2 linked regions of the Oryzias latipes genome follow. The protein of the gene in region 2 purifies or fractionates together with the protein of the main gene of each other region. This does not show direct contact. Links are inferred from orthologs where the notes say so. Each region holds a gene or a part of one and is shown on either strand. Other genes may lie near its edges.

Evidence for each region.
Region 1: the proteins of ubiquitin carboxyl-terminal hydrolase 36 (region 2) and dhx33 purify together in Homo sapiens (affinity purification with mass spectrometry; 5 studies listed by BioGRID and IntAct, counting the BioPlex papers as one, with this or other methods). This does not show direct contact. The link is inferred for Oryzias latipes from reciprocal best matches to the Homo sapiens genes USP36 and DHX33.

The regions. Positions count from the first base shown.
Region 1 is NC_019872.2:21,235,841-21,252,755, reverse strand, and holds the start of dhx33 (putative ATP-dependent RNA helicase DHX33), read right to left. Parts: upstream 11,255-16,915; 5' UTR 11,104-11,254; coding exon 10,893-11,103; intron 10,743-10,892; coding exon 10,582-10,742; intron 8,614-10,581; coding exon 8,386-8,613; intron 7,446-8,385; coding exon 7,275-7,445; intron 7,155-7,274; coding exon 6,969-7,154; intron 6,315-6,968; coding exon 6,203-6,314; intron 4,643-6,202; coding exon 4,483-4,642; intron 4,384-4,482; coding exon 4,295-4,383; intron 4,215-4,294; coding exon 4,087-4,214; intron 2,940-4,086; coding exon 2,736-2,939; intron 2,668-2,735; coding exon 2,581-2,667; intron 1,379-2,580; coding exon 1,070-1,378; 3' UTR 1-1,069. Other genes in the region: histone H2B 1/2, read left to right, coding at 15,201-15,575; uncharacterized protein LOC101170117, read left to right, coding at 16,187-16,495. UniProt on the Homo sapiens protein: Implicated in nucleolar organization, ribosome biogenesis, protein synthesis and cytoplasmic dsRNA sensing. Stimulates RNA polymerase I transcription of the 47S precursor rRNA.
Region 2 is NC_019866.2:10,392,963-10,409,342, forward strand, and holds the end of ubiquitin carboxyl-terminal hydrolase 36, read right to left. Parts: intron 13,598-16,380; 5' UTR 13,585-13,597; coding exon 13,332-13,584; intron 13,247-13,331; coding exon 13,025-13,246; intron 11,353-13,024; coding exon 11,242-11,352; intron 10,477-11,241; coding exon 10,374-10,476; intron 10,294-10,373; coding exon 10,226-10,293; intron 10,087-10,225; coding exon 10,016-10,086; intron 9,898-10,015; coding exon 9,815-9,897; intron 9,704-9,814; coding exon 9,592-9,703; intron 8,874-9,591; coding exon 8,733-8,873; intron 8,555-8,732; coding exon 8,454-8,554; intron 8,379-8,453; coding exon 8,240-8,378; intron 8,159-8,239; coding exon 7,796-8,158; intron 7,709-7,795; coding exon 7,484-7,708; intron 7,181-7,483; coding exon 7,059-7,180; intron 6,976-7,058; coding exon 6,367-6,975; intron 6,175-6,366; coding exon 5,969-6,174; intron 5,817-5,968; coding exon 5,634-5,816; intron 5,536-5,633; coding exon 5,420-5,535; coding exon of another isoform or gene 5,416-5,419; intron 5,333-5,415; coding exon 5,201-5,332; and 2 more. UniProt on the Homo sapiens protein: Deubiquitinase essential for the regulation of nucleolar structure and function. Required for cell and organism viability.

The sequences.
Region 1 (16,915 bases), on a different chromosome or scaffold from region 2:
CTCACTGCATCTCTGTCGGCAACACAGAACCGTTCTCGTTGAAAAGAAACAACCCCTTTATGTTAAAAGGCTTTTGTAGGTCATCGTTTGCGTTAAGACAACTCATTAGAGACACTTGCTGTCAGTTTAAACCATATTCACAGATTGGGACTTCCCGGAATATCTCACTATCTTAGCTTGTCTGAACTGTTTTTCTGCACCTCCTGATCAAACTAGCGGTGCGATAAATTGTGGTGAACAGTTCATGATATGCAGACTTGAGCAGAGGATTTGTCTGGAATAATTCACTGGAAATATAAAGCGCTATTTATAATAAGAACAAATAAAATGTTGGATCCCTGGTCAAGAGACAGCATCCGACTTTGATCGATTCATAAACCATGTGAGGTGATTGGACCCGATTTCCGATCATGTGATTGGATCGGGACATCCCTAATTCTTTATAATGCAACAACCCTGAGTTAAGTCAGAACTGCAGGCAGCCTGCTTCCTTCTCTTTTGGTCAGTTGTTGGACTACAGCGCACGTCAATCAGCGGTGGGCTGGTGACTGCTGGGATCTGAATGTTTTGCACTGCTGAGTAGAAAGCTGGCTACGCCATTACGCTGTACTTGTTCTGAAGCAGAAGCCTCAGAAAGAGCTGTTTGACAACCGCCCAACTACAGAGCTTCCTTGTGGCCATTAGGATATACCAAAAAAGCCCTTAAGATCACCTGCGTATTTTCCCAAACTGCCTTGAAAGCAACATTAGATAGATAGTTAGATAATTCCTGCTGCAGGTTGAATAGCATTTTATTGTAAAAAAACTGAAACGGAGAATTCCAAATGGAGTCCTCTGTAAACTGTGTTCCTGATAGGTTTTGTGCTTTATAAAAGCATGCAAACAACTTTAACAAAACATCCTTTTCAGGTGTGTGCAGGAAGCCTCAGCTATGAGGCTTAGATGTGAAGTGCAACAGCAACACATGCTAGATCCATGCCAGCTGGGAGGTAGAGGAGTCCAGAAAACTCTCAATTGAAGAAAATATTCTGCTCTGCTTTGCTAACGCAAAGTTAAAGCTGAAGTCCTGTTAGGTCCTGGTGAGGTGAAGCTTGCGGCCAAAGTACTCTGGAGCTGCTTCCAGCAGCCAGTCAGGATCTACCAGACACAGGTCTCGCATGTAGCAGCGCGAGGTGTGCAGCAGCTCGTTGAAGATCACGTACGCCGGCTTGGCCTGGAAAAGGACGGACGATGGGTGGATGGTCACGGGTTGGTGGGTGTCCAGAGCCAGATAACTGCCATCAAGCTGCAGCTCTGCCGCGTTGAGAAACATCCCATGGGCAAGGCAGCGGCGAACACTTGCGGTGTCTGAACCACACGACTCCAGCTTCAGGTTCAGCTGAAAAAAGGGGGGGTCTTCAGTGACAGGAGCTTCATTATAGTTAAAAAAAAACAAGTTCCTGTACAGACTTCAGATTTTGTGCTCCAACTACAACATTTTAAACAAACATATTTCATCAGTGATTGGGAGGAGTTAAATACTTTGAGGCTGACCACAATGGACGGAAAAAACGTTGTCTTTTCTTGACATGGTTAAACCATTTGTAACATTTAGTATGTATTTACTATGGTGGTTAAAACAAATACCCACACTAGCATGTGCATTTATTTGGTTTGCATTTGTTGCAATGACAGCAAAGTCAGACCCTGAAATGGTCTCAATGTCAATGTTTTGAATGCCAACATGTGCTTTTTTCCACATGTGCTTGCCTTCGATAAACAGTTGTACGAACAGTTTAAAGACCCACTCTGATTATCTTTTAATCTGTTGTTAGTTATGATTATGCCATTTTTAACCATAATCAAACAACCCATGTCGTTTTCTAGGACATAGTTTCTGCAGAGCAGCTGGAGTTCATTAGAAATTCACCCCTGAGTTGTAGTTAGAACTGTTGGCACGTATCAAGCAAGACCCCACTTCCCATTACCCAAACTGAGGTCTATCTGTTTACACGCTCTCCCGCTAGTGTGCAGCCCATCACACCAACCTAACATTACCTGTGTAACAAATATAGCGAGCAACATTGGAGCTATCATCCAGATTCCAGCTCAGACTAGGAAAACAAAGACGTTCATGGATCTATTTGTCTGCAAGTGGATGCATCAGAGTGGAGCGAAAAGCACATTTTTTACGTCACAAATAAGCTCTTTTTCAAACAGATTTCTTTTCGTCTGCTCCTGGTTAAGAACAATTTGAGTAAAGAAATACTCAATAGTGTGCTTAATTACCTAGTTTACAAAGTACCAAAAAAGCTCATTCATCCTTTCTAAAACTAACTTGTTTTGCTGTTCCAATCAGTTTTCTGAAAAAAAAAAAAAAATTCTTGCCAGACAGAAAATGAAGACTTCATCACTTTCATTTGACTCAATTTTTACATTATGAAACTGGACATGGAGTCTGGGAAGTTTACTTGAAGACCTCCAGCATGCAAACAGACTAAAAACATGAGATCAGCTCTCCTCCTAAAACAATTATAAAAGATGCTCAAAATAAATCGGCATTTTTGAGTTCCCAGGTTTGCACTGTGGGTGCAACTGTACCTTCAGACAGATGTCTCTGAGCTGCGCCTGGACGTCCTTTACCAGACCCATGTTCCTGCTGTTGACAAAGTTCTCCCGACACCACTCCTTCAACAGCAGACCTTCATCAGGAACGTGATCATTCTGGTTTCAAATTTCGGTCTCGCCACACTCACCTTATTTCCACTGACTTTCTTAAACGCTCTGTATATGTTCAGCAGTGTCATGTGATCTCCCTCACTGGTCATGAATTTCTTGCGTGCCGCGAGCACATCGTCCCGCCGGGCCGGGGGGTTGTAGAGCACAGTGTCAACGGACAGCAGACACACGATGCTCAAGATCTCCTCAGAACAGGAGTATTCTGGGGACAATAGGATGGTCTGCAGGGGGGGAAAAAAAGTTTATTTGGTTTTGGAACAAAATTGAGCCCAGCGGTGTCTGCAGCTAACTGAAGTTTGAACTAGTGGGACTTTAAATTTGGTCACATTCAGGTTATCATGAACTTTATAAGTTTAATCAACATCAGGTGTGGTTTTTCCCTGATTGGATGTCCGTATCATCATGTGATGGAAACTGAATCAGACCAGGAACACAACTCTACCTAAAATTTAAGGTAGACGTGTTCTCCCTCACATCTGCCAGCACTGCAAAAATGGAATCTTAAGAAAGTAAATGAGCTTGAAGCCCAAGAAAGCGAAGCAGAAGTCTTCTGTTCGCTCCTGTCCTCAGGAGTGCAGCTTCTCTTGGACTCCTGCACTGTCCAGACTCCACATGGATCAACTGGAGCTGTTAGCAGCATTTCTTGCTCTTCAGCACTTCTGTGACGTTCTGAGTGGTGATCATGTTTTGATCAGAACAGATGCCACAATTCATCTGGCAGACTTGGACGTACATGAGAATTCTAGAGTTACAGACTGTACAGTTATTCTATTATTATTTTATTCAAATTTTTCCTCTTTTCTTCCCTGTATATTTTGTGTCTGTGTTTGTCTTTATCCCCCTATTTCCTTAGTGCTGCTACTGCAACTAAATTTCCCTTCGGGGATTAAAAAAGTTGTTCTTGAATCTTGAATCGTGTGTGTTATCACGTGGACATGTCAACTTAAAATAAAATAACAATTTTAAAACATCTATTTTGAAAGTGCAACTGAAGTTTTTATTTTGAAACTCAGACCCGTTTCCCATTTCCCTGGTTTGTTGTCGCAAAATCGACAAGTTGGCGGACTGGAAACAGAACTCCTGCGTAAGGCTTGCATTGTGTTACGGCGAGTCAGACGCAGACTGAGGTGATGTAAACATTCTGACTGATTAATGAAATTTCTATTTTTTGAGTCAATGCTTTAGAGACGGCCTGCAGACAGACCAATGTAAGTTCATCAATGTAAACTTTAGTCCCACCAAACCCTCAGTGTGCACACCAGCCTCATAAATCCGGGACGGGCAATTAATCGATCGATATATTTCCATGCAAATAGCTGATAAAATCTTTTTTGGTCCTCCAAGTTAAAGCAGAGTGAATCATTGTACCTTGGCATATCTAGGCTCCAGAGGAAAGCTGGCCATCTTCTTCCCCAGCGGGGTGAGAAGAACCTGCCCCTCCCTCTTCTCCACAGCTCCCAGCAGCTCCAAATGGTCGACAGCAGAACGCACAGCCTCTGAGACAAACAAACACACCTCACTGCCACCACATCTCCTCCTGTGCAACCACATCCGTTCCTGAGCTTCATCCGCCTACCTGGGGAAGGCTTGGACATGAAATCAAAGTTCATCACATCTGGAATCCCCAGCGCCATGAGTTGAAGCATCACGCCTGCCAAGTTACACCTGCAAGGCACATGGCGGCATTCAGTTTGTGTGATCTAAATGCAGAGACCATGCAGGAGCAGCAGCTGAAAACACAGCAAACTCGGTTTTATTCCCTACCTCTGGATCTCCGGGACAGTCATGGGGAGGAAGTTGTCAAACTCCTGCTCTGTGTACAGACGGTAGCAGAAGCCAGATTCCTCCCTGCCAGCTCTGCCTGCTCGCTGCCACGCCTGAGCCTTTGAGACTCGCTGCACGGCCAGCACCTCCAAACCACTGTCTGAGAGCCACAGCACAGCCACACTCAACCATCATCAGCATCGAAAGAAATGTCACTTTTCAGTGGCTCATTTTACCAATATTGATCTGAAACATGCACACACCAATTGTCTTTTTTTATTAGAAATCTTTAGTGCATTAGTATAAAACTGAAAATATTTCACACAAATAACCAATTTTACATCAAAACCTCAAAAGAAATTGACATTAGAGAGATTTTATCATCGATTGTGCGTGATTTTAAAAAGGATTTTCTTGTTAAAGCTCCAAAAGTGACTTAAAATAACCATCAAAACCATTTCTAATGATGGAAAAAGACCAGAGGTTTTTTTTAGAAGTTTGTAATGTTAGGGGAAGTTTCCACAGTTCTGACTGGGAGTGCAGAAAAGGCCTGCATGGAGCATCTATGGAGCTGCTGTCTGTGTCTGGATGCACGGATGGGTTTGTTCGCTGCAGATTCAAACCCTGTTGGTTCACAAAGCAAGAAGATCAAAAGCCAATCTGAAGAAATACATGTCATGTTCAAGGATTCTGACTGAAGGGAGTCCTTCTTCCACAAAAAACCTCCTGTCTGCTAAATTATTTTTAAGTAAAATAACACAATTCAGATATCTCTCCTTTGATCTTTAGCAGATGTTTGCATCTGTATGACCACTCAACCACTAGAATGAGCCGTTTTCGAAGCTACATGTGCCAACCACATGTGTGAGTCAGGATCTTTATATAAAGATTATCTGATAATTATTGCTGGACTTCAGGGAAACCTGAGATGGCTCCAGATATTGATGTTAACTTTGTCTGAATCCCCAAAGTACTGGTACATTTCTGTCACAGCCATGTGTTATCATCCAATCATTACAGTCTCCCCCTAAAGTTTTCTTTATTTTTGTGTTGAATGAATAGTCTGGGAGCAGAAGACACTAAAGCTGGCACTTAAGGCAGTGGTCCACAAGCCCCAGACTCCGGACTGGTACTGATCCGTAGGTCACTTGGTAAGGTAGCGCAGATAAGAAGAATATTACAAATACATACTTTAACTTAGAATATTTCGATTCTGTTTATTCCCTGATTCTGAAGGAAGTTTTGTTTTTGAAAAATACTGGATTCGGCTGCTCAGACCGCCAAATTAAAAGCCTCAATCTAACAAATGTAATAAAAAAAATAATAAATTAAAACGTATTTGGAGGGTAATAAAATTGTTTTTTTAATTTAAAAAATAGAGTCAGAAACCGGAAACATTAAAAAAAAAAAAATTAACCACCAACTTTTGCCCCATTTGGATCAGTCAGTGAAAATATTGTCTGACAATAAACTGGTCCGTGGCTTACAAAAGGTTGGGGACCCCTGACATGAGGGCTGCCTTATTAATAATTTATCTGATCAATATTTGGGGATATGAAATTATTTGACCAAATCTTCATAGGACAGAGACAAACACTATGCACTGATCTGATCAGTACTGAATATCCGTCAGAATTCCAAATTGTCCCAAATAACTAAAAAGACAAAGGCATAACGATCTTCTGCTACGGTCTTCATTGAGAAGGTGCAATGATCTCACCAGGGTTGAAGCGTTTGGCCTTCACCATCCCTGTGTCAATGACATATTTAATCCCAGAGATGGTCACAGATGTCTCTGCGATGTTGGTGGACAGGATGACTTTTCTGCAGCTCTGGACAAAAGCATGGAAAGCTTCAAAAACCAACATCTTAGAATTCAACTTTTATTGTAAAATCGTTCCATGGGGTCTTTCAATTACGATTATGCAGTTTTGAGCCAAAACAAAAAGCCTTTGTTCTGTTTTTTAAGGCATATTTTAAGCAGTGGGAGCTCATTAGAAATTCAATTCTGGCGCAGAAGTTAGCTGCACTCATTTATCATCTGCTATTTGTTTACACTCACTCCAGCTAGCTTCTAGCATCTCACAAGCCCAAGTTAACATTAGGGTAGCAAAAAAAACAAAAACATCAGAGCTATCCAGCCGTCCAGTTTAGAGCCAGATGGCAGCTCAGACAAGGAAAATTAAGATGTTAATGGATGTATTCGTCTGCAAGTGAATACTTCAGAATTGCAGCTGAGAAGGATGACTTTGTCCCGCACATGGCAACCTTTTTCAAACCGAGGGTTTTCATCTGCTCCTTATCCAATAAAATTTGAATAAAGAAATACTCAGAAATGCAAGCTTAAGCTTACTTTTCTTTATATATGTCCTCCATCCTGAGAAAAATGCTACAAGAACATGTTAAAAATGCTCAAAACGCTATTTTCATTGGAGTGGGTCTTCAAACAGAAAGGGTCCTTTTTCTGATCGTTTCCTGATGCTCACCTTGGGAGCCGGCTGGAACACCCTGAGTTGCTGCACTGGAGGCAGAGATGCATACAGGGGCAGAACCACCATGGACCCGCAGCCGTCGGGGACGTGCTTGGAGATGTCTCGACACGTCCTCGCCAGAGCCTCGATCTCCTCCTGCCCCGTCATGAACACCAAGATGTCGTGAGCTGGCGGTGCCTCCTGAACACAACAGAGACATAAAGAACCATCACTTCACATCAGCACTGTTAAAACATCTATTTCCTCCAGAGAAGTGCTTGTTATTGTAGATTTTTATGTTGGATAGATTAGATGGATTACCTGATGGATCTGGAAGATGGAAACTAGTGCAGCCTGAAGATAGTCTGACTGCTGATGCTTGGTGTAAAAGATCTGAATGGGGTGCTGCCTCCCTTCCAGGTATAAGACAGGAGACTTGTTGAAGTATTCAGAGAACAAATCCACATCCATTGTGGCAGACATCACTATGACCTGTACAGGGAAAATTAAAAAAATATATATAGGAAAAAGAAAACAGCCTTTCAGATGTCTGCAAGGAAAATTGGACAGTCACCAACACACAGGTATGGAGCTGCAACACAAAGAAACGAGACAGAAAACAGCCAATCTCAGACGAGACGTTGACAGCAAGTGAAAATTGAGCATTTTCTTAGTTAAATGCCAAACATCTTTCTCTTCCTAATAAGCCAAGAGATGGGCTGTTTTCAAGGAGTTCAATATCCAGAGGCAGACAAGACATGCTAACTGCACTAAGCTAATTGGAAAAGTGCAGGGTCTTTTAAGATGAAATTCATGGTAATTGGAGCAAAATAAATCTATTTTGGTGCTTTTCTGTTGTATGAGAAGAATTTAAAAGTATGCTTTTGTAATAAAATATCCATTAAATAGTTTGCATGTAATGTCATTATAAGGGTTCAATGCATGCAGGTCTGTGTGTTGGCCTTCACAAATATTTAATCAAAAAAAAGACACCCCCCCCCTCAACAATATTACCGGTAAGTCGATATGAATCAGTCTGTAGATATTCAACAGATGTTTAACATTCAATTTAATAAAAATTGTGAAAGTTATCTCTAAATAAAAAATAAAAAAATGATTTAAAAAAACTAAGATTATTTTGATAGCAAAGTCACAACATCCGGATACTTATAGAAAAACCCAGAACTAAAAGTAAAATCAGTGAGGTTATTCTATAGGATTAAGATTCAGTAAAAACAAAGTTAAAAAAGGTTTTAAAAAGCTTTTTTTTGGATAAAGCTGCTTCCAGGTGCACTTTGGAAACTTTGATTTTCAAAACCTTGCATCTTGTTTTCACACATTTGCTCTACAAACTCTTCCACTTCAGAGTAAAAGCATATCTATAGAAATACTCATGATGTCTAAACATGGAGGACTTGCATTGTCCTCTAACCTTCAGGGGGATCTTATTGAGCTCCCTCCGTCTGCGCTGCGCAGTCTTCACCACACCAAAGAGCACATCTGTGTGCACGGTGCGTTCGTGGGCTTCATCAAGGACTACCACAGTGTACTTCAGCAGCAAGGGATCTCCTATGGCCTCCCGCAGCAGCATGCCATCAGTCATGAACTTCAGCTTCGTCTCAGAGGAGGTGACATCTTCGAAGCGCACCGTGTAGCCAACCTGAACAGAAGAATTTAACAAACCTTTTTAGCTTTACATTGATATGTGTTAGCAGGCTCCTTACATGCTCCAGCAAGTTAAACGTCAAACTTTAAAACAGCAGCGAGCCTCAAACACACATCTCTACATCCACTGCTATATTAAACATACACTTTTAAAGGCCCACTCTGATGAAAATTGTGTTTTTAACATTTTTTACGTGTTCTTGTGGCATTTTTCAGTCATCAAAGAGAAAAGGGGCTACTTTGAAGAACCTACAATACGACATATTTTCAGTTATTTCACACTTTTTTGTTATGTATATAATTCCTCGTGTGTTCATTCAGAGTTTTGATGCCGTCAGTGTCACTCTTCAATTTTCAAAGTCATGAAAATAAAGAAAACTCTTTGAATGAGAAGGTGTGTCCATTCAAATTATGTGAATCGGGATCAGACGATAAAATGCAGTTTGAAAAATAGCTTGTGACGGAGAAAATACGCTAAGTGGGCAACAAGATCCCTGCTACGCTCCGTTCCAATGCTGTTAAGTTTTTGTTTTCCTCGCCTGAGCTGGAATCCGGCTCAAAACTGTACGACTGGATAGCTCCAATATTGCTCGCCATTTTTGTTGCAGCGGTGATATTAGGTTGGGGGTGTGAGGAGCTGTAAGCTAACGAGAGAGAGTGTAAACAGAGAGCTCTCTGCAACGGGGAGGGGAAAGAGGTCATTCCATGTCAATGGTCCTGCCCACAACTCAGAGGTGAATTTCTAATGAATTCCTGCAGCTCTGCAGAAACTATGTATTAGAACAGTGTTTTTTAACCAGTGTGCCGCGGCACACTAGTGTGCCGTGGGAGATGGTCAAGTGTGCCGTGGAAAATTGCCCTCATTAACTGATCTAAAAGCATTTCCCATCTCCAGGAAATCAGCTCTTTGTTCATCCAAACAGGTCCTGATAAAACACTGAGTAGTTAGGAATATAAACGATCATAAAATACTTTTTTCTTTGTGTTTATTTGATTCTATTAAAGACATTTTGATAAGAATGACGGTAACGCGAAATAGCTGCAGCTATAACTGTGTAAGGAAAAGTCCCGCAGCTTTTACTGTCTCCACGACTCCACCAATCATTCTTGAAGGCTTAATCACATGTCATCAGTCTGACCAATCAGAAGTGGTTAAAGTCTCCACTTCCTTGTTCTAATTTAGCTCATAACTCACTCAGTTCCAACAAAAACACCAGCTAAAGCTCGTCTTTAGCGGTGTAGCTTTCCACAGAATCCGGTATCAGACCGTGGAACAAGTGAACAAAACCATGAAGCTCAGAGACGCGAGTCTTTCTGCCGTTTTCTCGCAGTATTCACACTACATCTCCCATGATGCATTGGCTTAATGAGTCGTCCTTTTTACACGTCTTGAAAACACAACGAACATACAGTTTGTATGTAACTTAACTTTTATTACATCTTTTAGAAAAACATCTGCAACTTCCTGCTTTTTCTGCCACAATTATCACAAAAATGCACGTCAGATTGCCGGGGGGGGGGGGGGGGGGGGCGGTAGATCAAAACAGACTATGAGTTTCTGCTTTTTTTTTTTTTTTTGGATGCTGGTGTGCCGTGGGATTTTTGTCAAGGTTAAAGTGTGCCGTGGCTCAAAAAAGGTTGAAAAACACTGTATTAGAAAACAACACAGAGTTTTTGGTTTTGACTAAACTAGGAACACTTTGATAGATCAAAAGATGATTGGAGTGGGACTTTCAGAGCCAGGGCTCCTTATAGTTCCTCATTTCAATACAGATTGTGGGGATGGAATTGAGTAAACTACTTACACTATCTATGTTTGTCATTTCACAAACATTCAGAGTGAAACAACATAATTAAAGAATGGCTGCATGAAATTTCAGAGCTGTATTTTAGTGGTGGGATTTCTTCAGATCCTGCAGTAATACTGACAGAATGGAGATGACAGAGGAGGTCTTTTACATACCAGTTTGCCGATTTGAGTCCTCTTCTCTTCCGCCACCCGTCCTGCCAGAGAGATTGCAGCGACTCGACGCGGCTGAGTGATGGCGACCATACCCAGACGACCGATCCCGGCTTCATACAGATACTGCGGGATCTGTGTGGTCTTCCCAGATCCGGTCTCACCTGGTGAGGATTGAACATGTGTTCATTTGAGCGCCATTAACAAAAATGAACTTAGTCTAATCATGACTGCTTACTACTTGCTGTGGAGCCTGGGGAACTAGTAAGAGTTAACGTTAACTATGGCTAATGACAGTTAAGTAATAAATGTACCTATTATGATAGCATTTTGAAGTTGTCTCAGTTGGTTCAAAAGGTGCGGCTTTGCCTGGTAAATCGGAAGCTGTTTCCTTTGGACCTCTATCGGAGTGCTCACATTCCCCTTTTTTGGCAAAAGCATTCCAGGTTTATTCCTCTCCAGGCGGAAAAAAACAGACCCCGGCTTGAATTTTTTAGCCGGAGGAGGGTCGGGCTCGTGGGGCATGGTCTGCAGGAAGCCTCCAAGAGAACCAAACTTAACCAGCTGGTTTGTCTGGTTGTTATTACCTCTAGAGTGGAAGATTCGTCTCTAAAAGTTTTGTTTTGCGTGCCCACCAACACGCGACAGAGCGTCCCTGCGGATGTAGGGCGCCTTCTCAAAGACGTCACCGCGTGTTAACGCGGCGCACACGTTTGACGTCATTAACTCTACATTCTTTTTTTGTTCGGAGTGCATTTAAGACAGTTATAATAATCAGAAAAATACAGTAATTTAAAAAAGGGGCATGTATCTTTCCATTTACATAGATGAATGAAATGTTTACATAAAATAAAAAGCAACACCGATGACGTCAGAAATCCCCGAGGCCAGATTTTCCATAAAAAAAAAGAACACCAGGTAAAGAAATAAAAAAAAAGGAATATATAAAACTTTGAGTGACAACCAATTGTGAATATCAGTCCAAAATATTTTTATGTGGTTTCAACTGTAAAAGAGATGTTCTAACATTCCAGTTTCAAAAGAAACAGAATATGCATGGTTTCGATTAAAATTTGAATCTTTTATGTAAAAAATCTCCAACTGGGTAAATTTTAGATATTATTTTAAAATGCTTTTCTTTCATTTTAGGTGGAAGTGGGTACTTTGTGTATAAAGAAAAAGATTTGTCCATTAGGGAGATTTCTAGGTTGCATCTTGTTGCAGAATTTTTTGTTTAAAGGTTAGAGTTACTAATTAATTGTTGTATTTTTTATCTTTTAGGGGAATATCATTAATTGTCAGTTCTGGAAATTGTGGTTTGATTGCATTGTATTGTTGTATGTTATGAATAGGATTAAGTAAAGGCATTGGAATTGCTTTACAGACTTTATTATAACAGTTACTAGAATCCTTAATTTTGTATTTAGTTACAAACTCAATGTATGATAACAGCATTCCATTAGAACGCATCAAGTCATAGAGCTCTACATTCTCCCTCCACAGAAATTAGTGAAAACCAGATGCATTAACTGGGGAATTTTACAAACAATTTAGTATTTCAATTGCTCCTTTTGTAACGCAGGTTTTCTTAGAAAGCCTTAGCCAAGGAACTCTACCTCCAACACTGAATCAAGGAGTGATCACTCTTCTCCTATAACCCAAAAAAGACACTCTCAATATTGGCGCCCGATCAGTTTATTGAATAAGGATTATAAAATGATTGCCTCTGTATTTACTCACAGACTTAAATGAGTCTTGGACTCTGTAATTGGAGAAACCCAGTCAGGATTCATGCGCAAAAGACATTTCTAATAACATCTGGCTTGTGCTGGATATGTTAGATTGCTCACATTTAATAATAGACGAAAGTTATATTCTTTTTTTGGACTTTTATAAAGCTTTTGATTCAATTAATTCCACGTTTATTTTTAGCTGCCTTCACAAATTCGGTTTTGGCTCTTATTTTTGCAATGTAATAAAACTATTATACAGTAATGCTAACTGCTCAGTAAAACTAAAATATGGTACCTTTCCCCATTAATATTAAATGAGGAATACGACAGGGTTGCCCCATCTCGCCATATCTATTTTTATTAGCCACTCAGACCTTGGCAGATTACATAACTATAAATAATTTGAAAGGCATCTCTGTCTTTGGCAAAGAGATTCTCATAAGCCAACTAGCTGATGATACAACCATTTTTTTTATAGATAGCAGTCAAATTCATTAAGCCCTAAATATTGTAAAAGCTTTTTTATAATGTCTCTGGACTATCTTAACATTAAAAAATGTGAATTACTATCTATCGAAAATGACAAAACAGGATCTATATATGAAATTCCCATCAAATAGAGTCTAACATACCTAGGGATTACCATCGCCAAAAGCAAACTAGAGAGAAGTTCTTTAAATTTCAGTCCTGTAATAGAGAAAACCAGAAAAAGTTTTAATTTATGGCTTCAAAGAGACCTGAGCTTAAAAGGCCGAGTACTGCTGTCAATGGCAGAGGGAATCTCTCCACTCACTTACTCTGCATTATCTCTTTACATGGGCAATCAAACACTATAATCTGTTGACCAAATTTTGTTTAACTTTATCTGGAAAAACCGACTGACACCACCACAGGAAAAATCTGCTTTACTACTACCCACAAGAACAACAACAAAAAAATATGTACGTTATTTTAAAGGGATGTCATTTCTGTACCATGTACTAAAACCTACTGGAGATGTTTGGTTCCCGATAGTATTTGGATGGAAAGGCTGGAGTGTGACCCAAAAACTATTAATAAATAATAAAATGAAAGAAGTTTCTTTTAAAATAATTCACCAATCAGTTCATGCTAAGATACGTGACAATTGATCCTGACTGTACTTTTTGCAAAACACAACCAGAAACAATTAACCATCTTTTTTGGAATTGTACTCAAATTAGAATCTTTTGGAAAAAGTGTTAACAAATTTATCAGAAAACATATTCACCCCAACTTCACTTTGAAATTTGAATATATATAATTTTTAATATAACATAATTTTTGGCTTTCACAATAAAAACTTGGACTCAAGTAAAAAACTAATAATTAATTTTAATATTATTCTATTTGGCACATTTTATATTCATAAATGCTCATTTTCTTCATCTTCTATTTTTTTCCCTGTGTTAATCAAACAAATTGAAATGTATCTAACTAACATCTCTAAAAGTCCGAAAGCTGTATGTTTGTATGGAAGTTGTAGAAACCTCAATGTTTTTATGTAAAATGCATGTAATATGTATGCTCCCCTGGCATATTTGAAGTTTACTATGTAAACTGTGTTTTGTATTGTACTTCCGTTTTTTACAATAAAGTACAACAACAAAAAAAGAAATGAGTGAAATTAAAGAAAGAAAGAATAAAACTGTGAAGTAAGTAAGGAACCTAATTGTGACTTATATCATCACTTTACACAAAATGTACACAAAGAGTGGTCTACAAGAAATAAACACAAATTTATGAACACAAAAGTGAATATAATTATTTAAATAAGTATTTTTGACGTCACATTTTACTTTAAGAGGATTTCAACACTAACTGAAAAAATAATTTTAGATATTATTTAGATACCAAAAATGAAAATACATCTCTCTGTGACCTTCACATTCACACCATAATAATATATTTTTACTTGTTCTGATAAAAAAAATTGAATTGACAGAATCGTCATTTCTTCTGTATGCAAGCTTTGCAGTATGTGATTACTCTGCACAATGTGAGAAACCTTCTGGAAATTAAACATCACATAATTAACAACACAGAACTAATCAAATTTTCTTTCTTTTTTAGATCTTTTTTTTTTTTGGATCAGTCCTTTCTAACCAACCAAATGCAGAGAATTTTACATTAATGCTCATGTGGGGTTGTGTCCTTCCAGACATCCTTAGTATTGGTCCTCATTAATTCCTAACACATGAGATGAAATGTTATAACGACTAATTTAGATTTAGGTTTCCTATGAACACAGCATTTTATGTTACCTTTTGTAAAAAAATGAAAGCAAAAGTTTTCTTCTTTTTGCAAAGTATACTGGTTTTTCAAATTATTCAGATGTGTGCCAACTTCTGTTTAAAATGCACAGTTGTTCTTTACGTTTGCAACACATTTACTCAAAAGACCTCAACCATCTGAACAGCTGCCCCCTGTCTGAAGCGGGAGAAGTTGTGCAGTTGTTGTAAATCCTGTTGAGGTCACTTCTGGGCTATTTCGTTGTATAAATAAATAAAAAAAACATTACCTGATATGCATGTTAACTGTTAGCTGGTTAAATGAGAGCTGTGTTAAAGATGGTTGTTAATTAGAGACAAGATAAAGATTTTATGCAGTTAAAACTCTGGAAGTTAAATCAAGTTTATATATACATGATTAAAAATACGTGAAAGTTAACTTTTTAAGAATATATTGTGCTTTTACTAACTCCTCTGATCCACTTCCATGTTTTTCTGACATCTTTCTACTTCTCTGATGTCCTATGCGTTCAGCCAATCACTGTCGAGAGGCTGCACAGCTACATTTACATGGAACGAGTATAATTACAGTGACTGGTCTCCTTTGAATCACTCGGTTGCGTCAGTCATCTGATTCAAAATGCCCGAACCCGCCAAGTCTGCGCCCAAGAAAGGCTCCAAGAAAGCCGTGACCAAGACGGCCGGCAAAGGAGGAAAGAAGAAGAGGAAGACCAGGAAGGAGAGCTACGCCATCTACGTCTACAAGGTTCTGAAGCAGGTCCATCCTGACACCGGCATCTCCTCCAAGGCCATGAGCATCATGAACTCCTTCGTGAACGACATCTTTGAGCGCATCGCCTCCGAAGCCTCTCGTCTAGCTCACTACAACAAGCGCTCCACCATCACCTCCAGGGAGATCCAGACTGCTGTGCGCCTCCTACTGCCCGGCGAGCTGGCTAAGCACGCCGTGTCCGAGGGCACCAAGGCCGTTACCAAGTACACGAGCTCCAAGTAAACTCCTACTGCCACGAAAACCCAAAGGCCCTTTTAAGGGCCACCCACATCTTTTCCTGATGAGCTCTACCCTCTTACTTTAAATATGTAAGGATTGATTTGTGAGTGTTAAATCAGTTCTCCGGTTCACCAAGATTAAAAATGTAAAACACGAGGAACATTAGGGCCCGATGGCTAAGGGGAGCGAACAATAAACGTAGAAATAAAGCACTGATGCTTGTGACAAAACTACACGAAGTACAAAATTTCATTAGTCAATTTCAGATAAGGGATAAAATGTACAAAAGGGACTTTCAATGATACACCAGCACGGTGCACTGTCCTGATGCGCGTGCGAAGTCACTTCCCCTTTTTACAGTTTTAACTTGTCATTTAAACTTTCATAAATGAGAATGAACTGGTAATGTTTATTTGTAAACATTACCACAGTTTTCTTGTAATAGGAATACGAAATCTTAATTTGTATTCCTCGGTTTCGGTTAAAGCCTGTTCGTGATAATTTGCATTTGGCTCCACCCAGTCAACTTCTTTGACGTCCGCTGGATAGGAATAAAAAGCGGCTCTCACGTTTGTCTGTTATTTGTGTTAGACTTGTCTAAGTGAGAACACATCATGAGCGGAAGAGGCAAGGGAGGCAAAGGTCTGGGGAAAGGTGGCGCCAAGCGTCACCGCAAAGTTCTCCGTGATAACATCCAAGGCATCACCAAACCCGCCATCCGTCGCCTGGCTCGTCGTGGCGGCGTCAAGCGTATCTCCGGGCTCATCTACGAGGAGACTCGCGGCGTGTTGAAGGTCTTTCTGGAGAACGTCATCCGCGACGCAGTCACGTACACAGAGCACGCCAAGAGGAAGACTGTGACCGCCATGGACGTGGTCTACGCTCTGAAGAGACAGGGCCGAACCCTGTACGGATTCGGAGGTTAAACTGCAGCTCCAGCGACAAAAAACAAACAACGGTCCTTTTCAGGACCACCCACATGACTGACGAGCAAAGACCCGCTTCAGCCAGTCCAAGCTGTACAATTCAGACAAGTCAATACATCATCGATAACTTTAAAACTGGTTATGAATATAATGTAATACTATATATTACAAAAAAGTGGTTGTTATTCATCAGAAAACATTCATGACTTAAAGAGTAGAATGACACATCACGTGACAGATATAATACTCTGTTAAGTTGAGAATTTTGAAAAGATTATGGCCAAAATTAGAACTAAGAAGCAATTATTTGAAATCGTCCATATTTGTGTGAGAGCAAATGACTTATTACATGATGCGATTCAATTTTTTACTGTTTACTTCTTTTGGAATAACCGGTTACACAGTATGTATACGAAC
Region 2 (16,380 bases):
GCAGCTCGTCTCATCCCACGCACTCCCTCCGTCAACCATATCAAACCTATCCTTCAACAGCTTCACTGGTTCCCTATTCCATACCGCATTCAATACCAAATTTTTGCTCTACATATTCAAAGCCGTTCACAACCTTGCACCTCCATATTTCTCTGACCTCCTTCATATCGCCATACCTGCTCGCTCTCTCCGCTCCTCTTCCTCTATCCAGTTTTCTGTCCCTTCCACCTGTCTTGTCACCATGGGAAGCAGGGCATTCAGTTGCTCTGCTCGCCGGCTTTGGAACTCACTCCCCCCTGACCTCCGCAACACTGACACACTCCCACATTTCAAATTAAAGCTAAAAACTCATCTTTTCCAATTGGCTTAATAACTGTAACAGTAACTTTTTCATGTTTTTATATACATTTTATTTCATTGTGTATGTATTTAAATTGTTGTTGTTTTAACTGTTTATTGTATTTCTTATACTGTATACATGTTGTGCGGCGACCTTGAGTGCCCAGAAAGGCGCCTTTTAAATAAAATGTATTATCATTTATTATTATCTACTCTGAGATTGGCCTGCCACCATGTGGACACAGCTTGCAATAACACTCTTCTTCTGGAAAGCTTCTAGTGTTTTGCAGACTTTTCTTTAAATCCTTTAAGAAATCTTGGACATTTGAAGGCAAAACCCTTCCGGGCTATTTCCCTCTGTGTTTCTAACTCAATTCCAGGCGAGTTTCAAAGACCACAGATCAATCTATGAGGGAGGAACTCCCACACAGCCGCATCACCACTGATGACTCACAACAGTTTTAGGGAGAGGATGAGCCGACACTACTGTTAGCACCATAATCTGAATGCATTTAGCAGACAGTTTCCTGAAACTTTAATGCTCTCTTTCCTTGCTTCTTGATGTGAGCGGTGCAGATTTCTTCATGGAAAAGTTGGCCAGGGTTTATTTTTAACCTTTTTTTTTTTTCTGACGTGACTGCTTAAAATTTGCTTCACTGCCTAAGGCATTGATCTTCTGGTTTGTCAAGATGCGTTTGAAGTGATTTTGAACCAAATGAGGTGTGTTGGGATTTTGCAGCTTCTGAGCAATCTTTGAACTCCAGATCTTCATCATTTCAGAGAGACAGACACAGCAGGAGGACATCAACCTCCAGGCCAACGTGAGCGCTCGTGCCTCTCACATCAATCACTTTATCGAAAAAGGAGGAGGGATCTAGCCGAGAGAAAGAGGAACGCTACGCAGAACCACAAAAACCACATGCACCTGCAGATGTAGAGCGCCGCCACGCCTATGAGGCAGAGCCACTGCTTCCTTTGTATGTGTGCACATATTGTCATGCAAAGAGAAACTGAGCTGCAGAGACAGGTGCAGGTAAAAACACAAGCACACACACATAAAAAAGATATTTAGACACCATGCAACTAAAAGCCTTTGAGTCTTCAAACATAGCCGCACCCTGTTAATCCCATAGCAGCTTTTGGGCTGCAGCTCCTAGCAACATCCCAGGAGCAAAGTGCAAAGAACAGCATGATACTCCTCATAAATGTTCTGAACTAAACACATAGAAACCAGCTTATCAATGCTGGTAAAGCAAACATTTGTGATCTGAGCGGCACATGGAAATCTGCAAGGATTTGGACGCACTACTGTTCTTTCCTCCTCTTCCCCCGGCTGTGGGTTTGCTAAAGGAGGTGTCAGTGACAGTGAGTGTGACTTTAATGTTCTGACAGCTTCACCACGTCTCGCCTTTCACTGCCAACCCCTCTCTGATAATTACATAATCATCGACTGATGCTTTGTGAAAGAGACCATCCCAGTTAGATAAAATGAAAAATAATTTAAAAAAAGGTGCGTTCTGCTTCAGGGCCCACTGCCAACACGTACACAAAAATACATAATTACTTTGTTGCTCAATAAGTTTTTCAACATCACATCAGCTGATTCTCTGCAATGAGGCCAGAGCTGGGGGATCTATTTTGGGATGCATCAAGCAAAGAGAAAGTCTTAAAAATTGCTGAATAATTGAGATGAGGATGACAGTGGGAGCCATCCGCTGGCTCATCACCGTCTGACATCATGCATGATGTCAAGATTTGAAATGATTGGTCCCTGCAGATCCATCAGGGCTGCACCTGACGTGACATATGAATGCATAATAAAGACAGGAGCCACGTGAGGAGTTTACAGTGCTGTCAGGGCTGCAGATGTGCTCAATAATTCAGCATGCAGGTCTTTTTTTTTTAGCCACCTGTTTCTAAAGCAGCCCGTGCTAAACGTGGCATTGCACCTTCCCGGACTTCATAAAACAGAAAGCGAGTCCAAATTTCAAACCGTTCCTGCTGAAAGCGGAGCAGTCTCTGGAACAAACGGTGCTAAAAATAAATACATAAATAAAAAGCGTGCACTCGTGTTAAGGTTGAACCTGAGCTTAGTCTGAAGGATTAATGATTAAAAACAAAAGGCGAACCTTGGTTCTCCCCGTCCATCCTGGTGGTTCTGCCGCTGCAGGCGTCACTGAGCGGGGATGTCTCTGCACGAGCGCCCGAAGCGATCCGGATACCTGCTTTCCTCCTCCTCCTCCTCCTCCTCCTCCTCTCTCCTTCCTCTGCTCTGACTCTCCTCCTCCAGCATGTGATCACTTTCGTCTGAGATGAGGATTTTTCACTTATAGTCTAAGAAATCCTGTTTTGCATGTTTGAAGCTCTCAGATGTTTTAAAAATGACACACACACAAAAAAAACTATTACCCACACATTGGACCTGTCCCTTAATTGGGCATGTCCAAAGTCCGGCCGGTGGGCCAAGTGCAAACATGTGGCCACGTACTTTCTAAGGACTGATTGTGATTGGCTAAACTGCGGTTGTAAACTTGCAGCAACAACCTGTGGCTACTTTACTGAAATTGCTCCATACTTTGTACAAAAAAAGACAACTATTTGTGTTATTTTTCTGTTTTCGTGATTTAATTTTAGAGGTACAGTGAGCATTTAATAGGGCAAATGTGTAACATTTCATGTGAAAGATATTTTCCCAGACTTTATAGATAATTCTTTCTTAAAAATCACTTAGATATATTTGAATTCTGAGTGACAGACTGAATTATCTTTAGTTCCTGAAACAAATTTCATGAAATTGAATTAAAAATTATCTTTATAGAGTTTAATGAATGCAGACCGACAAACACCTCGACTCAAAAGCCTCTCAAACTCTTGAATCAACTTCGACTTGGAACAAAAAAACTTGAGTTTAAACTTATCCTGAGTAAACCCTTCAAACTACACTTGTGACGAACACTGAACTGGTCTAAAATACCTCGAGTGTCTACTTTATGGATTGACTCTGGATTGAACAATGACTTCAGATTAAGCAGATTGGTCAAAAACACTAGAACTGAATTCAACTAGGAACAAATAAAAACAACAAATTTAGCCTTAATTTAGACACTGAATAGACCTTGACTTCTAAGAAAAAGTACTTGGACACACGTCAGGACTTTCACTGACTTGTGAACTTCGCCATTTCATGTGAAATCTTCATGTTCACTTCTATAACTTAGTTTTTAGAAATGCTGCATCTATAAATAGAATCAGGTGGAGATCCGCTGTTTTTGCTTAGACCTCGTAGAAAACAGTCTATTGTCTCTAAAAAAAATAGTCTCACTTTAGAAGTCATCTCGAGATTTGATAACCTGTATTTAGTGTGACAAAAAGGCCTGATGACAACCCAATACAGTAAGTGATTGGCTTTTCTGACATTGCTTAAAACACAATACGCAGAAACTCACACACACACACACGAAAAAAATCACAACTTTATTGCACCTTTTCAGGTAACTATATTGAGGCTAGAGGGCCTTTCACTTTGAAAGTTCTCCCTCCTGATCAGAGAGGTTGGTGCAAAATACAAGACTCCATGAGAACATTGAGAGTTCATTTGCTCCAGCATGAAGCTCTGCACCACAAGTCACAGCCTCCTTTTCCAACAAACTCAACATCTGAACAGCTTCGGTCCAGGGCGACATGAAAACAACTCTCAAATACATTTTCAAAAGAAATTCTCAAGTGAACATCCACCAACTATTTTGAGTATTATTAGCACATTTAAGATCCGTTTTTTTTCCTTTAAATTAGATATTTATAGTCTTAAATTCTACACTGTATATGGCCAATTCAAGGCAACATCTCTAGAATGAAAAGAAATGCATCTTTACAGCAATACAGATAGAAGATGGACTGTACAGTCGTCTACAAAGCTTTTGTTGATCCTTTTTCTACAAATATGTGCCCGTGGTGGTGGAGGATGATCCTGTGGTTCCTGAAATAGTTTGTATAAAACAGTTTATACACAAATGTACACGATGCGGCATGGATGCCCAGAGAGAGAGGGCTAAAGGTGAGGTACAGGGGGTCTGGGTACCTGAGTGTCAGCCCAGTTTCTGGGAGGGTCAGAACATTGCATAAAGAGAAAAAGATGGGAATCAAGAAGGTTTTCTAGGAAACTCTGGATTTGAAGTTTTTGATAGGAGATTGATGACATCAACAACTCAGTCTGTTACTGCATTTAAAACAATTCTCACCATCCGGGTTTGCCGTAAAACCTTAATGCACAGTGTAGTAAGGCTGGTAAGGAGCAACACAAACATGGACCACCTAAATTATAATTATGGGTTTTGCTAAAAGTGTAATAAAAAGTAATACTTAAAAATATAGGCAAAAAATAAAATAACCAAAAAGGTTAAATATAGATTTAAATCAATTTATGATTTGTGTAATATGAAGGATTTCAAAATAAAAGGTCACTTCTTCACTGTGAGCCCTTTACTGTTGCTGCTTTTGCAGCAGTTTGCTCAGACGGAAAAAAGTCAAAAACAAACAAAAACACAAATAAACTCCTTACAACTGGGTTGCGTTTTTTTCTTTTTCATATCAACAATTTGAGGACCAAAAACTGAGCCTTAAAAAAAGCAGACCTACAGTTTTTAGACAAGATGATCACAGGTTCCCTTTGAAATATTTGATGCTCGGACTTCAAAAGATTTCCACTAAAGAAAACATTTCCTGATGTTTCTGTTCACCCTCAGAGATGAAGGTGCTGTCCATCAGACCGTCGAGCGTCCTGGAGCTGGCACACGCACAGACGCATTTGGTTTGGCAACTTGGTTTCGATTTCCAGATTTGCGGTCAGCGGCGTTCCGCGCCCTCACCGTCTGCCACCAAACGCCCTCTTCCCTCCGAGCGTCACAGACCACTTGTTCCGCCTGTCTTGGATCTTCTGGAAGAAGTTGCTGCCGTTCCTCCACTTCTCACTTTTATAGCTTTTGACTTTTTTCACCTAAAAAAAAAAAGACAACAAAAAACCGGTTAAAGAAATTGTGATCATGATTCTTTTGACTGTTTTTCGGTCATTTTTTTAACTCACCTTTCCTCTGTCAAAATCTTCATCCCACTCATCAATCACAGTGTCGAACTTGGCATTACGGACATCTTCAATGGCATCCCTGCTGACAGCAGACACCTCACCATCCCAGGTGAGGACTAGACCAGGAAAAAGACAGAATATTCATTTGAAACTATGATTTCCAACCAAAACAGATTCTGTGATCGGGTTTAGAAAATTGGAGCCTTTTCCTCACCGTTTGCTCCATAAGCTTTATCCGAGGAGTTCTTGAGAAGCTCCTCAACTACGTTGCTCGTCTTTTTCCCATCCCAGGCCACACGGATGGGAGCATCTACTGCTGTACTCCCATCCGCTTGACTGCGCTTCGAAACATCCTTTATCTGACTGTCCCACATCACCACAGAGGCTGGACCCCCTTCTATGAAAAAGACAGCAAAAGATGAATCATTTAAAAGCCAATACCAATTTGGAGCCAATATTCTTTCAAATGTCCTTGCTTTGAATGATTCAAAGCTTAAGCTGAACTTGAAAACAAAACCCTTTATTTGAAATGACTTCCTGATCACATACTCGTGTTTTCTTTGCTCGTTCTGCTGTTCTCTGAGGCGTCAGGCTCACAGGGGGGGTTCGCGGGCAAAGAGGCAGCAGATTCCTCGCCTTCGTCCCTCAGTCGCTCCTTTTCTTTTAGCCGCTTCTTTTTTACTTTTGATTTCTTTTTCAACAATCCGGAGTCTTGTGTGTCATTACAAACGTCTGTGGTGTTCATCTCAAGATTCCTGAATGTAAAAAAAAAAACAAAAACAAATGCAATGAATGCATTTCTTGGAAGAAGAAAAAACCTGACTTTTAGTGCCTCTGATGAGCAGATTAATTATGCATTATGTTTGTCATTAGTATGCATCTTAAACAGCTGGTTGCCATGGTAACAAATAGATGCCTACATCACAGACATTAAAATAAAAGCAAACCTTTTTGAGCTTTCAGATGTTTCCTGCAGAGAATCTTCCAGATCCTGAATGATCTTTTTCTTCTTCTTTTTCTTCTTCCTCACCAGCTCCCTGTGCTGCTCTTCCTCAGCTGACTCGCATGCTTTCGGGCTCACGTTAGATATCTGGCACTTTTTTTTGGAGGGTTCTGCATCCGATTTAGACGTCAGGCTCCATAAGCCACCCTGACACCAATCCTCCTCCTGGATTTTCTCTTCCTCCTCACGCTCCCTCTTTCGCTTTTTCCTTTTCTTCCTGCGTTTCCTCTCGCTCGCCGTCTCCAGAGGGCTGGAAGGTGTGACGGGAGTCGAGGACGTCTCCGGCTCGGTTTTATCCTCCGCTTCAGAATGCCGACGCTTTTTCTTCTTCTGCTTCTGGCTCACTTCTGGAGCTTGGGGGGAAACATCTGACTGTTGAGTAATCATTTTGGGGTTGTTGGAAGACTTTGGACTCTTTGGGCTTGGATGGTGAAAACCATTGGTTTTATGAGACGGGCTGGCGTCTGAAACAAGAAGGCTCGGCTGTTGTACGGATCCACAGAAATGGCCAGAGGATAGTGACTGAGTTTTAGGCGAATGGAATGGACCCGCCCTGGAAGAGATGAATTAAATATGTTAAAAGGACTTTTTTTTAGCCTTCAATAATCGAGGGTTAAAGTACCAGCAGATTCATACCCGTGTGTATGGCTGGGTGTGGCACTGGTGAAGGAATTGAACTGATTTCGATGCAGAGGGTCACGGGACAGCCGGTGTGGCAAATGGGACAGAACATCAGTGCTCCGATTCTGGCTGGGAGCCTGCAGTTATCGACAAAAATAAAAACTTGGTGGTCTAAAGAAAATAACCATGATTGTGACAAAAACAAAGAGGAAAATCATATGGGGGGGGGGGTGACAGGATGGCGGGAGTTATGTTCGGAGTGAAAAAGAAAAAACAGAAGAAAGGTATGAAATACAAGAATTAGAAATAAAGAAAAAATAAAGAAAAGAAATGCTTACATGGTAGATTAGACAAGCACATTGGAGAAACAGCATTACATGAAATCAAACATTTCCATGGTAGTACAGACCGCTTTTTTAATAAGGCAGATAAAAAATGACCTTCTTGGCTGACAGGGCCAGTTTTTTGGCAGGTGGAGGCGACATGGTGTTGGTGGCTTCAGATGCGATGCTATTGAGCGCTGGGGGTTTTACTTTAGTCATCTTCTGCTCTTTTGTGCTCTGCGAGCGATCCGAGCTTCTGGCCGGAGAAGCCAGGCTGCTGGATCCCTTCCGAGGAGTGGAGGGAGTCTCTCCTGCTGGTGCACTTTTGGTACCGATGGAGTCCTGGTCAAAAGAGGGAAAACAAATTTTAAAAAAAACTAGGCTTACGATCTCCCTCCTACAATAATTAAAAAGTCTTCATGGCTGCACCTTTGACTCAGAGGTGTCAGCAGAGGAGGAGTCCGACAAAGACTTGAATGAGGTAGATGCTGCCATTCCTCTGCTCTCCCCACCCGCTTTTTTATCCCCCTCCATCCGGCTGACCCCGTTGTTGGAAGGGGTGGGCGTGGTGCTGCGCGACTGCACCTGGCCCTGAGGGCTGGGCTTCTTCACCTTCTTGAAAGGCTCCTCAATGACGGTGGGCCCACTCCCCAGCTTTGGTGGACCGTTGGTAGCGTTCGTCCAGTTGGGGAGTCTTGGCTGCAGCTGAGCATTGCCACCATTTCTGAAAACGGGGAAACCCAAGCCGCTGTCCATGGACTGAATCTTCCTCAGCTGTGCAGGCTCAAGTTTCTGTCAGGAAGAAACGACTTCTACTGAAATAAACGTCCTCATTAACACCGAAATCCTGTTCATTCTTTTTTTCTCTTATACCTTTGTGACCTGTGGGGAGGACAGAGGCCCATTTAGGTTAGCTCTCTTAATCTGCTCCGACGATGCATTATTCTTCCCAGAATGCAACATCCCCGTCTTGGTGGTCTGTCCATCTGCAGTCTTCTTAGTTTCAGGGATCCTGCGTTACACACAAACTCTGGTTACTTTAATAGTACAGGAAGTGCACAGATCTTTTTTGATCTCACCGACTTACCTCAGGTAGAAAAGCACATATGCCTGCTGGTTCAAAACCACTTTGATGTTACTCGACTGCACCATTGAATCATTCATCTGGTACCACTGCCCGTTGCTTGCCTAGAATAACAAAAGTTAGAGAAAATTTTGATCCAAAGCAGCTGTTTAAATAAAAGCCAAACCGTTTATTAATCTGCATTTAAAACTATTTTTAAAGTTAAAAACTAAAAAATTAAACAGGTGACAAGCCATTAAGGTTGAAATCGTTAAATAATTCAGGCTGAGGTGGCCGACATACCTTGATGTAGCAGTAGTAATGGCCAGCATGACAACTGTACCCAGAATGCACCAGCACAGCATAGAGGCCATACATGACAGGATCACCGGAGCTCTGAGACATGTAGGGGCGGATGTTGAGGAATTCTGGGTATCCAACATCCTTTAAAAAAAAAAAAAAAAAAAAAAAAAAAAAAGAAAACAAGGAAAAATATTCAGAGCAGGAAGTAAAGTTGCTTTTTTTTTTAATTACCCTGTTGATAAAAAAGGAAAGTCTTTTTAAAAATATGGTAATTAGATATTCTCAAATAGGCAATGAAAATACGATTATTAAAAAAGCGCTGGTTAACAGGAGGGTCAATCTTCCGATTTACTTTGGACACCTTAAGTACATAAAGCATGATGTTGCTTTCAAACCTCCTGTTCTTTTGAATACCTCCGCCTATCTGTTCTTCATAAAAATGTCCAGTTATTAGCTTTGCTAATGTGGAAACTAATATGTCTGCAAAATAAACAGCAGTTTGCTGCCATCAATTTGTATTTAAAAGAAAAAAAGTTTTGTTGCTTGGATCGGCAACACTGGGGTGTTATGTGACTTCCACCTCCTTCATTTTGTTCACACATTTGCAGGTATAAAACTACTAAATATATATCCATCTTTAATTACAAAATCTAGTTATAAGTGGAAAAAAACAGGAAGTCTTCCTGGGAGAAATCTATATGCTAATTGGATATCTTATTACCAGATAACTGCTGTTGTGGCATAAAAGACACCAGATTATCTACGTACTCTTTTAGAAAAGTCCCCCACATAATGATCTAATATTTGGTGGACATGTTAACCCCCCCCTTTGTCACGGGACTGATATTGATCGGCTAACCTTTGTTATTTTTCCTCCACTAAAGTTGGCAAACCTCTTCAGCGACAAGGTCAGAACGTTAGATGTTCGATGGACGGTGAAGCGCTTGGTGGCCGGCACTTTCTTCTTGCACCTTTAAAAAAAAAAAAGAAATCACATTTGAATGAATAGATCCTTAAAAAATTGAGTTTTGTTTTATTCCTCCAGTCAGCGTTTAGTGTCAGGTCATGAAAAAGGAACTCACTTGGCGCACATATAAGCATTTTCTCCACTTAAAACATCTGGTTTAACAAACAGTTCCAGGGCTCGAACGATGTTTGCCGTTTGCTGGAAAACAACAGAACAATGTTCTTGAAGATCGATTTTTTTGTTTTTTTTTAATCATCCACTTTAATCAGCTTTACAAGAATAAATGAGGTTATTGTAGAAATATTGTGCTACACACCCGTATCTCCACAGCGATGTCAAGGTAAGGGTCATAAGTATCTGACACACTTTTGCAAATAGAGCACTTTACTGAGGAAAAGAAAAAAAACTTTTAGACATTAAACAACGTTTAGATCATCATCAGAATATTTAGAGCTCAGTGATGCATCACCATTGGTAAGAAAAAAGTCTGATCTAAGTAGAGAGGGTGGACCAAATGAACCCATACCTCTTGACCTGAGGTAACCTCCAAAGATCTGATGGACCAGTGTTGTGGCCTGCGTTTGCCGATCCAGCCTACAAGCAGGAAGAAATCCGTTGGTTCAAGTCAGACCAGCATTCAGGTTTCTCATGTAAAATCTTCTCAGCAGCCTTACTTGGGGTAACCGTTGAGACAGGCTTTCTGCATGGCATCGATGGTGTACCGCAAAAACTCGTGAGCGTCTTCCTGACTCCCAAAGCGAAAATGTCGGGCAATTTCTGTTGGAAAAAAACAAATGCATCACACGTTTTTGGAACACTGCACATAATAAGATCAACTGTTTGTAGACATACATAAACAGTGCAATTGCTCTTTAAATAACTACAAGCTTTTATATTGATATAATACTTTAAACCAACATTTTCTCAAGACACAACCTCAGATTACAAGAAAACTTCCACTGTTTTGTGTTTCAGAAATAACAGCCAAGCAGTGACTCATAACTCCGGCAGCCTTGTGTCCCATTTACAGTAAACGCCTCACATTACGGCTAATGTAGCTATAAACATTTGCTCCAATGTGATTTCCTAATGGTGAAGGCATCATTCTAATGTGATCCTCACATTCCCAGCACTGCATCCTTACTCACTGAAGATAATGGAGTCACCTCAGAGTGGGAAAACAGAATGATGCGCTTATGACGAATTAGTGAGGACGAGGGAGATGACTAAATGTTTTGCATTTGCTTGTTGCTTCTAGCTGCAACCATCAGTTGTGTTAATGTGAAAATGAGCAGCAGAGGAAGGCTAAAGCTAAAGCTGCTGTCCTAAACCTGCAGTCAGGAGGAGTCAGAGAGGATAGAGGGGGTGCACGACTGCAGCAGGACACCGGGAGAAAGTACGCAGTAGAGCAGTGAGCGTGAAGGTGAAATTCACAATTAATCCCAGCTCTCCACAAGGTTAAAAAGAAAAAAAAAAAGCTACCAGCTCCTGACATGGTCTACTTTTAAAACGAGTGGGTGAAAAAATGGAGAAAAATCGTACTTTTCAGGTCCCTGATGAAGGAAACGGGCTTGATGGCATTGCCGGTGTTAGCAAAGGTCTGGATGATGTGGTTCTGCATCACACAGATCATGCAGAAACCCGACTGATGACCTGGAACACACATGAGACGGTAAAAGTCACAAAGAAAGCAGCAGCACACTCATTTCTGCTTTCATCAAGTCTTTAGGATCATTTTGAGAAGAACAGAAAAACAAAACAAAATAAATTTATGTTACTTTTTTTTTCTTTGCCATCAGAGAAGTTCCTCTGTTGAGAAATAGGGTGCAGAAATCAACACCCAATGCAACAAAAACGTTTTGATGTAAAATTTATTTAGATAGTTAGTACGCCTGAATTATCAGCTAGGACTCACAGATAAAGCAGTTTTATATAAAATGTTAAAATGTGTTGCTAAAAAGGTCTAAAAATTGAATTCTAAATGCATCAATATTGCTTAGTATTATAGAGACACTTAAGTTGCAGCTTTAGTCAGCAGTTAAAAACAGAAAATGTCACTTTCTTTGCTTTTATTCGTTTACTTTTTAAGGCTGTTCTTTAAGGAAAAAAATGCTATGGACAGATTTTTTTCTGTTAAGAAAACTAAGATGCCAAACCTCTGGAGGTTTCACAAAATGTTTTGATAGCAGCAAATGAACACAATGGAGATAACTATCTTTACAGACTGTAGCAACAGATTGGTGTACAGTATCTTTTGGAGTATAGGTCACAATTTTTGTTTTTTGCCTAGTTTGGTTGGTCCAACATGTATGTACCGTAATTCTTTTTAAATGAATACAAACAACCACCAGAGGGCGCTGTAGTTGTGTGTGTCGGTGCTTGTTACTGCCAGCAAATAAGAAGCGCCGCTCAGTCCTCGACTACATTCACACGGACCTTGGCGAGGCACGATCAAGCAACCACTTCCACTAAAAAGGCTGCGTAAACGCGGGTTCCAGGCTTCCGCGCTCAAGTGTCACTTTGCACGTGTTTATGATCGCTTTCAGGCTCTTCCTACTAAAAACCGAACCATTACAGGTTAAACCAGGATGAACTTTGACCAATCAGGCACTTGGCTTTGGTAGTGCCTTCTGTGTTTTCAAAACACACAAATGCCAACCGTTTGAAAATCGATCTTGGAGGAGAAATTAAGAATTCCTGTTTGTGCCGGAATTCTGTGACACCACGTCTTTTACACATCCAAATAGAGCTGTGAAAGAAAATGCCTGGAGCAAGATTCACAAGATTTGCACCGTTTTGACATTTCTGATCTGTGGTGGATGGACATCCGCTAGAATCGGGTAGCGACAGTCCAATAAGACCGCCGTAGGCTGCAAGTTCTGGAACGTGCATCACACCAGGCATGGCGATAAAGAACTCAGTGGATTTAGTCATTTAAAGTGATAGAAAGAGTTTTGTTGACTTGTTTATGGTTATCTTAAAAATGGTTCATGTTCATTCAGCCCCACACTTTCTTGGTCAAGTTGAAGTAAACATTCTTTATAAAAGACATTAGGTCAGGAACATTTTGCCTCGTCAACAATTGTTGTGCATACACATTTCTTATTTTAAAATGAAAAGTTAGAAAATAGGCTTAATAAGAACCTAGACAAAATCTATGTACCCACCCCACCCACACACACTTCTTTTCATTGATTTGACCTCACCTCACTCAGCAGACAGACCATCCTGTGATCTTCAGCTACACCAGTTTGCAAAAACGCCACATTTGAGATCTCCCCGTCAGACTAATGTAAGCAAAGGGGACGCAATAGAAAGGACTCACAAGTGCGACTGTGCTCCTTTGAGAGTAAGTAGTTGGCGAGTGGCGGGGTGTAGGTGAGACACTGCACAGTGGAGTTGAGGAAGCAGGTGTTTCCGAGGTTGTGAAGGCCAGCTCCCACCCTGTACACGCGCTCCCACTTCAGAGTCAGCTTGTTTGCTGGAAAGAGCATCTTCTGCGGCGCGGGGATCCCGTCACTCTGGTTCCAGATCACATTTTCCGAGACTAACAAAGCAAGGAAACAAACTGTCAGCGCTCAACAGCCAAAGAAAATTTCTTTATCTAAAATGTTCAGTTTCACCAGCTTTACCTTGCCTCTTTATCGGAGCAGGCTCGGACGCCTTCTGCCCCGTGGCGCCCTCACTTCTGGGATTCAGAATCACATACTTGTTCTTGAGGCTGTCCAGCTGATAGGAGAAACCTTTGCTGGCCGGCTCAAACTCGATTTTCTGCAGGAGGACCTTCTTGGCAGACGATGCCAACAGCTTGTTGAGATCCCCGTCCTCACCAGAGTCCTTTCGACCAGGTTTCAACGCCTCCTTGAGTTTATCCACTATCGGCATCGTTGGACCATCACTGAGGAGAACGTAAGCCGGTGAGTATTATGGGCTGTTAAGACTACATCATTGCAATTGAACTACAATGTAACATTGACCCTTTGGTCCACTCAGAACAGTCTACAATAGGGTTGTGTACATTTCCCTCCCACAGCTTGTCACAGCCATTTCAACACATTCTTTGTGATCAATAAAAGTGTGACATTAATTTATTCAGGTTTTGTTTGCAGTGCTAGAAAAAAAGAGGTACCATGTGTTTAGTGCACACAACATCCCCCACTTTGGTTAACCTTCGGCCAATTAGAATTGACCCAACCTGGAAGACGCAGGCTTGGGATTGGACATCTTCGTCTGGCGTACAGTAGAGAGAACCTGACAAAGAAATGTTTCACCATCGATACAACCTTTTTTGTATCTGTGGCATTGAACCAATACTGCTGTGTTTTTTTTTTTCCAGAACTAGATGTATTTTGTTCTCCTTTACATCAGCGGTCCCCAACCCCCAGGCTGCAGACCGATACCAGTTCATTAAAAACAGTTTGTGCCAGAACGCAGAGAGAGAGAGAGAGAGAGAAAGACAGGAAGTTTGGACATTAAACAGGTCCATGGCCTGAATAAAGTTGGGGTCCATTGCTTTACACTCATGTATAACCTTGACAGGAAGTATGGCGAAAAAAAAGATTCCACCTTTTAACACTAGGGGGAGCTGTACAATGTGTAGGATCTAATGAGAAGACAAACAAAAGCTTTAAATAATTTAACATTTACAATAATTACAATTCTTCAAACAGACTTTTCCTTTCTTTATGATTTTTCCTTATGGCAACAGGAGATTACAAATAACTCAAATCAAAACCAGTTTCTAAGTCATAAAGCCCAAACTGATACTGTCTTTTCTGTTTTGATTAAACAAAAAAAGTGAGACATTTTCACATGTCTCTCAAGTTTAGCTGCATTTTATTGACTCTGAAAGCTTGAACGCTCTTTGCCTCATCAAAGCACATCTGATGCTGCAGCACAAACAACACGGAGGGTTTCTGAGGCCAGCTGGCGCCACGAATCACAAGTCAAAAAGATGGGGACTGAAGTGGAGAAGATATTGACAAAACCCCTTCAACCATGCCACTGTTTTTATGACAGTCATGTTTTCATTGAGATGCTAATAAATCACCAGAACAGCAGAAATAGACTGTATGCTGAGCTCTCAAACCTGGTTTTCAGAACAGCGTCTGTATTTTCTGCCAAACTGAATGCAGTGATTACTTTTCATTCAGAGTCCCTTTAATGAAAATAAGATTTCTCGATGACGCTGGGGGAGTAGAAACACTGCATCGTGCTGATTTTTAGGGGTATAATGAAGCAGCTCCCCAAGAAATGTGTTCGTCAGAGAGGGCAGTGACGTCACAAAGAGGGATGAAGCATGTATTGTATGCACAAGGGCACACTGACCTTCTCATGCTGCTGATACAACTAAGAACAAAGCCTACAGGGACACACAGCCATCTGGAGGGATGCAACTGCTGAACGAGGAATAAACGCAAACATGCCGTTTAATCAGAACACGCTTTAACTGAACCTCATGAACACACACTGAAATGAAGATGAGGCTCTGCAGATTTTTTAACCCCCTCAATCTTACAAACATACCCAACATTCAGCTCACTGTGAGAGTTATATTCATGGATCGCTGTTTTCTATAAGGTTGAACGCTTTTATCTATGTTTAATGCTTGAATGTCTTAATGACCTCAAACCCGATTTCCCATTTTCCCTCAAACCAATTACCCATGAAGCCCTGATTGCAGGCTTGTGGAACAAAACAAATGACAAAGACCTTTTTTGTACTCAAAACTCAAGTGTCTTCACGACGGCGGTCTTCAAACTGTATACTCATGCCTTTGAGTGTGTATTGGTAGGGAGGAAAGGGGTACACGTTTAGAACATAGAAACCTTAAGATTTGATGTAGAGGCAAAAAAAATTAAATTCTATGCAATATGTCTTTAACACTTGATTTTTGGCAGGATGAGGAAGAAATGTTTTATGCTCTTTTGGCTAAAAGGAAAAACTTTCTCCCAAGTTTAGATGATTCATGCAAATGAATGAGCTTCTGTCAAAATCCTTTTGTGGTCATATCTTTTTTTTTTTTTCAAATAAAAGTTTAGTTTTTCTTCTTTTTTCCCAATACTAATGAATTCCCTTATAGGTCCCTATGTTTAAAACATTGTTTAATCACTTTATTTCGTAGAAATATACCAGTTTTGAGCTAATTGAGGTAAATGCAGCAAAAATTCTGAATGAAATGTGAAGGTGTGTAAGAAAAAGTGGCTTTTACAGGAGATGCATGCATTAAAAAGAACAAATGAAAGGTAAAGCAATAATCATGTTGTCCACTCAAGCGTGTAAAAATGTAAAAAAGCTTTAATAAATCTTACAAACAGATGGAGATTTTCTTTAAAGCTACCTATGGAAATATTGAGTGAGATATATAAATTAAAACATCATTTTTGATAAAATTCGGGAATAAGGATACATTTTGGACAAAAGTAAAAAGCAAAGAGTTTACTTATTAATAATAATCAAAAGATATTTCAAAATACTTCTTAATGGAACCAAAGGTTTATTAGCATCACTTGAAAACTGCTAACTTTTCTATTATTGTAAAAACTTACTGGTAAGTTAGTGTATTCATTTACTGATTTTATTTATTTTTATGTTGATAAGGTGAGCTCAGTAACAATCTCATGCTAAAATGCTAACACGAGTACAACAAGCGGTTGTTGTCAACATCTGGGATTTAAAAGT